2 linked regions of the Coturnix japonica genome follow. The protein of the gene in region 2 interacts with the protein of the main gene of each other region in a pairwise test. Links are inferred from orthologs where the notes say so. Each region holds a gene or a part of one and is shown on either strand. Other genes may lie near its edges.

Evidence for each region.
Region 1: the proteins of MYPN (region 2) and ANKRD1 interact in a two-hybrid assay, tested with the Homo sapiens proteins (2 studies listed by BioGRID). The link is inferred for Coturnix japonica from reciprocal best matches to the Homo sapiens genes MYPN and ANKRD1.

What each region holds. Positions count from the first base shown.
Region 1 is NC_029521.1:17,070,920-17,075,209, forward strand, and holds the start of ANKRD1 (ankyrin repeat domain-containing protein 1), read right to left. Parts: upstream 2,901-4,290; 5' UTR 2,886-2,900; coding exon 2,646-2,885; intron 1,516-2,645; coding exon 1,381-1,515; intron 1,294-1,380; coding exon 1,186-1,293; intron 524-1,185; coding exon 425-523; intron 1-424. UniProt on the Homo sapiens protein: May play an important role in endothelial cell activation. May act as a nuclear transcription factor that negatively regulates the expression of cardiac genes. Induction seems to be correlated with apoptotic cell death in hepatoma cells.
Region 2 is NC_029521.1:8,506,513-8,510,829, reverse strand, and holds the start of MYPN (myopalladin), read right to left. Parts: upstream 3,031-4,317; 5' UTR 2,814-3,030; intron 1-2,813. UniProt on the Homo sapiens protein: Component of the sarcomere that tethers together nebulin (skeletal muscle) and nebulette (cardiac muscle) to alpha-actinin, at the Z lines.

The sequences.
Region 1 (4,290 bases), about 8.6 Mb from region 2:
GAACTGGGAGAGGAGGAGTGAAAAAACAACTGCTAGTGTTCAGCAGTGTGGCTGTCTCCTGCGCACAGGGATCTCCTGGTGGAGTTTGCATACTGTGCACTGGGCCCTTAATGGGACCCTGCTACCTCCAGCACCTGCTCACAGCCCGACATGGTAATTTGACTTCAGCTGTCCTACCCTTCTCAGGGCTTTATGGTTTGTGGTGATCTATTGGTGAACATGCTCCTCTAATTCCTGTATTTTCCTTCAACAATTTTGGCCAAGCAAGACAGACACCCCCTCCTGAAACCTCTTCTCAGCAGCATTATTCTAATTATAAACTTGGAAGATACTGTAAAGTCTTTCTAGCGCTTTTCTTGTGTGTTTATTTTAGTAGTTACAAAACAATGAGCAATTTTTTTGAAGCACATGTTGATGGACATACCATATCTTTCAGTTCAAGCAGGGCTCCGGCTTCCACCAACTTCTTGACCACCTCTAGATGTCCTTCAGAGCATGCCCTGTGCAGTGCGGTACGCTTGTACTGTCAATTAAAACAGTGCCAAGTCAGATATCAAATATGGCACAGAAAGATCTTTTTAGATCTTTTATCTCTGCTTCCCTGGGATGATGGCAAATCTACGTGATATGCTGATTCATTTTTAAGAGCTAATGCTTTCGAGACCTGAAATCTCCTAAATTTTAATAGTATCTTAATTGCAGTGAGCTGCCTATCCAGCATTTCAAAGGGTGTGAGGAATATCTGCAGTGTGGCATTCAAATTTAAAATGTGATGCCTGTTGAGTTCCTCCATCCAACACGCTGTGCAATATTTTGCAAATGCAGCTTATGCACTATGGAATACAAGCAGCATTGCTTTTTTGTGTGTATTTCTGCAGACAGATTTCTTGTCTGTTCATCTGTAGCATTAGAAGTTCAACTGCTACAGAAAATCAGGGTCTCCTGGTCACTAATTTGAAACTTAAGGATTCCTTTGAAGTAATATTGTTTAGGAGGATCCCAGCAGCCCCTTTCTCAATGGAATACATAATACGTTAAAATTCCCGAATTTATTTATCTCACCCCACTCCCAATTCTTTCCTCCTCAAAACTGTGCATACCATAAAACCTACTGGTGGAAGTTATTTTTGTTCTGTAATAAACCTTCTTGTGCAGCAGGCTGCAAAGTAGGAAAGAAGAGCATACCTCATCACAGACATTGGGATCCCCTTTGTCCAACAAGTATTTTTCAATTACTGGCAACTTATTTTCCAGTGCAGCTCTGAAGAACATGGCTATATCCACTGGCCCTGTCTAATGGAGAAAAATATACAGGAGATGAATACAAGTGGCACAAAAGCCCGTTGGTCCTTTCCCAAAGGAGCTCACAGCAAAACTTACAATGACTTCTGGTTCGGGTTCCTTTAAAAGGGGAGCTTTCACTTTCCTGCATTTCTTCTTCTTCTTCAGCTGAATAATTTTCTCAAGGTCCTCCAAGCTTTCGAGTTTTGATTTCTCCTGTAGTTTTTTCTTCAACTGAAACAAATTAGGAGAGGCAGCAGTTTGAGCTGAGATCGAACACTTCTTCCCTCCAGAGTGGCAGGACGGGGGTACTACCATTCAGTTGAATCCAGTCCAGACTGGCTTAATTTTGAAATAAGTTGCTGTTTTGTTTTGATTTGTACTAGGTCTATGGCTAATGGACCATTAGAATACATTGCTAAGTATATGAGAAATTCTGCATAGTTTACAGCTTGTTCATATGCCATTGTACTTCTTCCTAAACACTTTCTTCAGCCATATGTTGTGGGATATCATGAGATTTTCTTGCTTGTTGAAGGCCAGGAGTCCAAGCAGCCCTGCATTCCCTTCTGGACCAATATTTTAAGATATCTGCAGCTTATAAGGACTGAGAGGCCCCTGCAGGTTTAACTGGCTTCCACTAATCATTTTGCCTTCAACCACTTTCATGTGGTAGCCACTGATTTATTGTTACTTAATTCTCTTTGATTTATAAAAAAAAAACAAAAAACAAAAAAAAACCCAACTCCCTTAAATGAAGTATGTGATATGTGATTTACAACAATTTTAGCACTTCAATCAGTAAGTGCTGTATTCTGGTAAACTAGAAAGAATGCCACCAATGTCCTTGAAGAGACAGTTCAGTAAGTGTTTAAGTCTTCTTCAAGCCTCCTTGTTCAAATCATCCCTGCATGAAGTGAGTACAGGGCGCTGCTGGCATCAGTGACAAGTGTGTTGTCTTTGAAACATAAGATTTCAGGTACCATGAGGTGACCTTGGCTTTGGAAGAATGATTCAAAACAAAGAGTTACCTCACGACAAATTCTATCCCTTGGCATCTTTAAGTAATATATTGGTAAATAGGTTGGTGAGGTCCTGCCACATGGTATGGGTTTTTTTTCCAGATGAATTCTTGTTCATGGGTTCTGCTTTAGAGTTACTGCCTGCATGAGTTGGCTGCAGGAGTCAGCATGTCTCTGCGTTCAGTGGGCGTTAGACCAACTTTGTTTGGCAGCAATTCCTAGGGGCTTGTTTATCTAGCCCACCATGCATGTATTTCTAATTTAAAAAGAGGAGAAACTTCACAGTACTGAAAAAGTGTATGAAATATGATAAAAACCCAAGTATGAAATCCAAGAGCCTACCTCTGCCTCATGCTGCTTCTTCGCGTGACCCATATCTGCTTGGGTTGGTAGGTGATCAGAAGCTGTCTTTAGGTCATCTTGCTTCTCTAATTTTACTTCAGCTTCATACTCTCCAGTTTTGAAGTCCTCAGGCAGGAAGCTGCTGGTATCTTTATCATCGGTTTTCTTCCCAGTCACCTGTAAAGAAAACATGTTATGAGCATTAGTCTGATGACCGCAGCAGGCACCCCCTGGGAACATGGGTAAGCATGTGGCAGACTGACTGCAGGCCTTGTTCAGCCTGTGCCTGGTTAGGTGTGCTTTTGTGGGTAGCTGGGGCAAGCATGTTTGCAGGCAGGTCTTCTACATCCCCAGAGCAATCCCCTGCTGGCATCCTCAGGGTTTGAGTCAAGTCCATGAGGCCACCTCACTGTAACTCCCTGTGTGACTGGCACTGAGCTGCTGCTATGCTGACAAAAGCCATTGAGTTGTGAACATCCTTTTTGTTCAGAATTTTCTTGCATTTCCATTCACCAGCATTTATCAGACCTATCAGAAAGCTGTGAAAGGCTATGCTGGAAGGAGCCACTCTGAGCAGGCACCAGCACCCCATGAGCAGGGGAACTGAGCTGCCAGAGTGGGAGGATATGCTTTCCCCATTGGGACCTTACAGTCTGACTGGAACACAGTGCAGTTAAATCGGGTTGCTGAGTAATTTCAAGGCTGATCTTACCTATTGCTGTCAGTACCAAAGTTCCCATTTATAGCACTTGGCAAATGAATGCGAGGTAGCTGCTGTGCTGAAGCTGCATGATGCTGTGCTGCAGCACAGCTCTTCATAGCTTTTGGAAATGTTTTGGATGTCTTGTTAAGTATGTTCAAAGAGATAACTTGTTAAATTTAGTGGATGTTATGATTAAGTTTAACACTAGAGTAATTGTTAGGGCCTTGCCAAAAGTTTAGGATAGTGCTGACTATTCATGTATGGGAGTTTCATCTTACCTGTGCCATCTGGGGGAAAAAGAAAATAAAGAGTCCCCCTATAATGCTCCAGTGCTTTACTGGATTACTCCTCTTTTCCCAGACTGTTGGTCATTATTAGTCTGAACTCTATTGCTTGTGATCTGGTTTAGATAGAGGCTTTCAAAACTTGTTGTATCATAAATAGCAGTGAGCATGAGAACTGTTAATAATGCCAGGTGTTGAATTAAAAGTGGAAAGAGAATAATTTGGTTCCCTGCATTGCTGTCTTTTCCCCAGTCTCTTATTGGATTGGGATTGTAAAGTTAGTAGCTCTAGACATATAAGTGTGTCAATCAAGATCAAGGGAAAACACACAGCTAAATTTTGGTTGTTATGTATTTCTTGGTGAGTTATGTTCTGATGTAAAATTCAAAGGACTGTGTAGTTATACCAGTGGCTAGCCCTCTTCCCTAGCAAAGGTTAGTGGAAATACAGTAGGATAAAGAATTATAGCATATGCAGGTTCTGAGCGCTCTGTGCAGGTAACCCGCTCTTTTACCTCAGTGATCCACAAAGACTGGTACATTGACAGTCCAGAAAAGAAAGTAATTACAAATAAATGAAAGAAGGTTGTACCTACCAGCTCTTCTACTTTCATCATCATCATGTTTGCTAGTGTTTGAAGGCTCTGCTCCCCTGTGGA
Region 2 (4,317 bases):
CACTGGAAATTATGACTAGTTGTACTGGTCATAAACAAAATACTTCTAGGTTCATGTCTATTATAATTCTGCAGTGGGGATTATTAGAGTTATAAACATACTATTTTAATACTTATGGTTATTATAAACTCAGAAGATAACCCAAGCAGATTTATAATGGTGAAGAGCTATTTAGGGGCTCAAGCTTGAACAAGAGGCTGGGAAAAATATAAAGATCATATGTCATTTGCTTCTTAGGAAAAGTGATTTCTTTATACCATTTATTACAAAGCAACCACTTATCTACCTTGCCAAATAAGCATTAGGTTAATTAAGGAAAAGTGAAAAGGAAAAAAATATATATATTGTTATATTGAGAGGAATTTAATTTGTAAATTTATGTTGTTTGTTGAGGAGTGTTTTCCTGGCTGAAATTGCTGCAAGCTTATCAACATGCATTATTCTTTGTGCTGAATTGCTTGTATTTGCAGAAGTTTTGTCACATTAGTCACAATATTTTGTACATGTTTGCAAGCTAAAAGCTTTGTAAGTCTAGAAGCTAAAAGCTTTACAAATTTACAAGATAAAAAATATTATGGAAGTGTTTTGTGATGAAACTGGAGTTTCATGCTGGCAGTCTGTATGGTTTTGGATGTCTCCACTGGGTCATGGGGTGTACAGAAGCTGTTGTGTCTCAGTTTGATGGTGTGGAAATGCTGGGCCTTTTCCTAAGGGAGTCTCAGAAACAATTTCTCTTGAATCTACAGTGATTACTCTCAGAGTAATATCTGTGTGTGTTTAAAGGTCATCTTGCTGCTCTAGAGCCCTGCCTAGGAGATGGAAATAGCTGTGTATCATTCTTTTATGGAAATAAGTAAATATGTCTGTGTAAAGCGGGGATAATGCAGTACCCCTCAACTAACCAGTTCTCTTTGGGATCAGTGATCATAATTAGTGGTGCCCTAGTAGCATGCTGACATCAATAACAAGAAAGCCTTCGTCAGTCAGACAAGGGTGATGAGTCACTGATACCACCCTCCTTATCCAAGAAAAAAATGCCAGCTAAATGCAATGGAGGTTTGGCACAGGTGGCTGCTCTACTATTTCTGCTTGAAAATGATATATAGCTGCTTTGGCCTCCTCTTACAAGCTTGAAGTTTTAAACTGAAGCCACTTTTTCCTGTGCTGGCATACCAAACAAACAAAGAAACAGTCTTCTAAAAACATTATCCCATGATTTTCTGGCGATAAGTCTCTAAATCGCTCATTAAAAAATCAACTGCAAAATTGTCAGCATCTTGCACAACTCCTGTGTTGTTAAATAGAAACAAAACATTGTGGCAATTTTCCTTTTCTAAATGGTAGCTTGTTAATTATTGGGATGCAAGATCTCCAGTAACATGAGGAGTCATTAAATTTTTCTGCATGTGAATTGTGCACTGGGAAGCAGTAATAATTCCATTTTTCCACATAGTTATAAGTTATTGATTGCTGATCTTGTGCAGCTTACTGTGCTTCTCTCTCCTAAATCATATCAACATTTTTTTGGAATCTTTTATTCCAATGCTAATATTGAAACATATTATAGGAAATAAAGAGTTATGTTCTTCCAAGCACTCCAGTCTCAGTCTGCTCACATATCATTTCTCTGGAGGCCCTTAATAACCTGTGCAAGAAAAATCTAATTTTCCACCTATCCAAGAGTCTTCATCCACAGTGAATATTTAATACATTTTTGAACAGAAATCTATACTGAAGTTGATACCAATGGCACAGTCCATGCTGTACCAAATATCGTTTGCTAACTGCACCAAAATAGATCTTCAAGTATCATGTCCCTCTGGGTTTCAGTAATACCCATGAAATCATTAGTCTCATCCTAAATTAAACTATGAAAGCTGCAAACAGTGCTATCTAACCATCTTTACCAAACAGAAATACCTCTGTCACAGAACAGTCCCATATTTGTGAGAGAGAGCTCCAAGCAGAAATAGGTCTGGTCACATTTTATGCCTCAGAGTCAATTATTTCATTCCCATCTACTTTTCCACAATGTCCTACCATAGCAATAGAGAAAAAAGCAGGTCCTGACACTCATGTAGGCACAGAGCCACACAGACTATCGCACAGAACTGGTGGCTGAGTCCCTTGCTTCCTAGGGAATCATGCTGTCTTTCTTCTCTCCCAGCAATCAGCCCTAACATTCATTAGTTATTTTGCTTATTGTGCCCTCTGGTATTCAAATGTTTCCTTACAGTTTATTTTTTCCCCCTTATTTGCAAATTTCATGTTGTTCCAGGACCTTTTCCTTTACTCTTGTACCCAAAAACATCCATGCCTACCTTCCCATTGCCATATAGTTTATTTCTCTCAAATCTTACTCTTTGCAAAGCCCAAGAAATGGGATGGAAAGAGAACTGAATGTCTTTTAACTATCAGTCTGGCTCAGCAGAGATGGGGGGCTTTATCATGATATTTCTGGATCCCAGAACAGTACTATTTTTTCTTTTATTCTCAGTTCAATTCGATGAACAACAACCTTAATTCTGTGAATTACATGCCAGTTCTGCACCTCCCAACACCTCCCCACCTCCTCCTTGACCCCCCCCCACCCAAAAAAAAAAAGGAAAAAAGAAAGAAAATAGATCATCACTGTTGTTTTCACCAGTAGTTTTCCTCTCTACTGTTTCCCAAGCCCACTGAGAGAACAAATCCCCACCACCACTTGCATAATCGCCTTTCTTCTTTCACACTAAGGTCACCCTGTGCTCAGGATAAGAAATTACACTAAGCAGAGCAAGATGGAAATTTGCAAAGAAGCCAAGAGTTCTCACCATGAAGTAGTGGGACCTGTCTGTGCGTGAGCCTCAGTTCTTGTCCTCTCCCATGCCTCTTTGTTCTCCTCAGTGCAGCCTGCTACCTTTCTGCTTGCTCTTTACGAAATAGTAAGACGGCTAATTTTAGGGTGCTTCATCATCCTGCCATGCAAAGACACAGTGTCATGTCAGAATCAGCTACATGTGGCACCACTTGGAGCTGCTATTTTGTAAGCTGAGGTTCAGTGTGTCTTCAAATTGGTCTCTGCAGGGCTGAACTGGCTCAAATATTATCTTGTACTTTTGGAGGAGTTCACCTTAAAAATCAAAGTTCAGTATTTCAGCCTGACCAAAAGCACAGTTTAATGACGTGGGAATTGGTGTGTCAGCATCCAACTTCAGCAAATGAACAAGCAAAAAACCAAACAAAAGGTGAAATGGAAATTTCCTGGTGTTTATTCAGCATGTAGCCTGTTCCACTGTTGTTACATGCTAGAAAACTTAATGTAATAGTACGAAACATCACAGCAATAGGAGGAGAACATGTCACATGCAGGAGGGGCTGCAATCCTAACCCTCTCTGTGTGGGATGCTTGAAAATAGCCAGCATCTTCAGCCCCAGCCTGCAGATGATCAGGCACTTCTGTGGCTTTTGCCACACTGCCAAGGAAACTGAGTAGTTGCTCCGAGTCTCAGCTGTTCTTTGTGTGGGCTCGGGGATATTGGATACACTCAGAAGTTTGTGAGCACAAGAACTGCATACCTCGTGCAAAGGTCAGGTTCCCTTCATTGTGGTCTTACTGTCCAGCATCCATGGTTGTCCTTCACTGCTTTTCCATTTTCTGTACATCTGTCATCCTGTGAGTAGCATTCTTTTTGTTATTTTAGCTTCATTTTGTAGCCTGGAGGCATGAAGGATAGGCCTTTTGTTCTTATCTACTTGGAGGTATGACTCCCTTGCTTCTCATTAACAGCTCCCTTAATTACATGCCTCAGGTTAGACAAAGAGCTTGCAATCTTTTAGACTTAGCATCTATGTGGTGACTTAACATTCAAAAACGTGTCAGAAAATTCTTTTTTCTTTCCCCCCACTATTTTGCCATCAGTTACCAAATAATTGGTCTCACTGATAAGCACATTTACATATGAGCTGGCAAGAATCACTACAATGTGCAGGGTGTGCAGGCTGAGAACCACCATGTGCTCAGCCTGTAAAGCAGCGGAGCATAGGAACAGCCATTAATTCACTAACATCCAATATTGACATTGTGAAAAATGTAAGGATAAAACAGAGAAACTGAAATACCATAAAGAGGTTTGTCACTGCCTTGTTTGTAATGCCATTTGCTTTCTAAAGCCTTTCCTTTGTCTTAATCAAGAAGACACTACTAAACAAAGGCTTGTCACAAAGGTTAGCAATTTCTCACTGCAAAAAGCTGACACCTCTAATTTCATGTTATCAGCTGTTCTGGACACACACTTCTATTTTCTGTTGTCTGTAACACATCAAAGGATTAAAAAA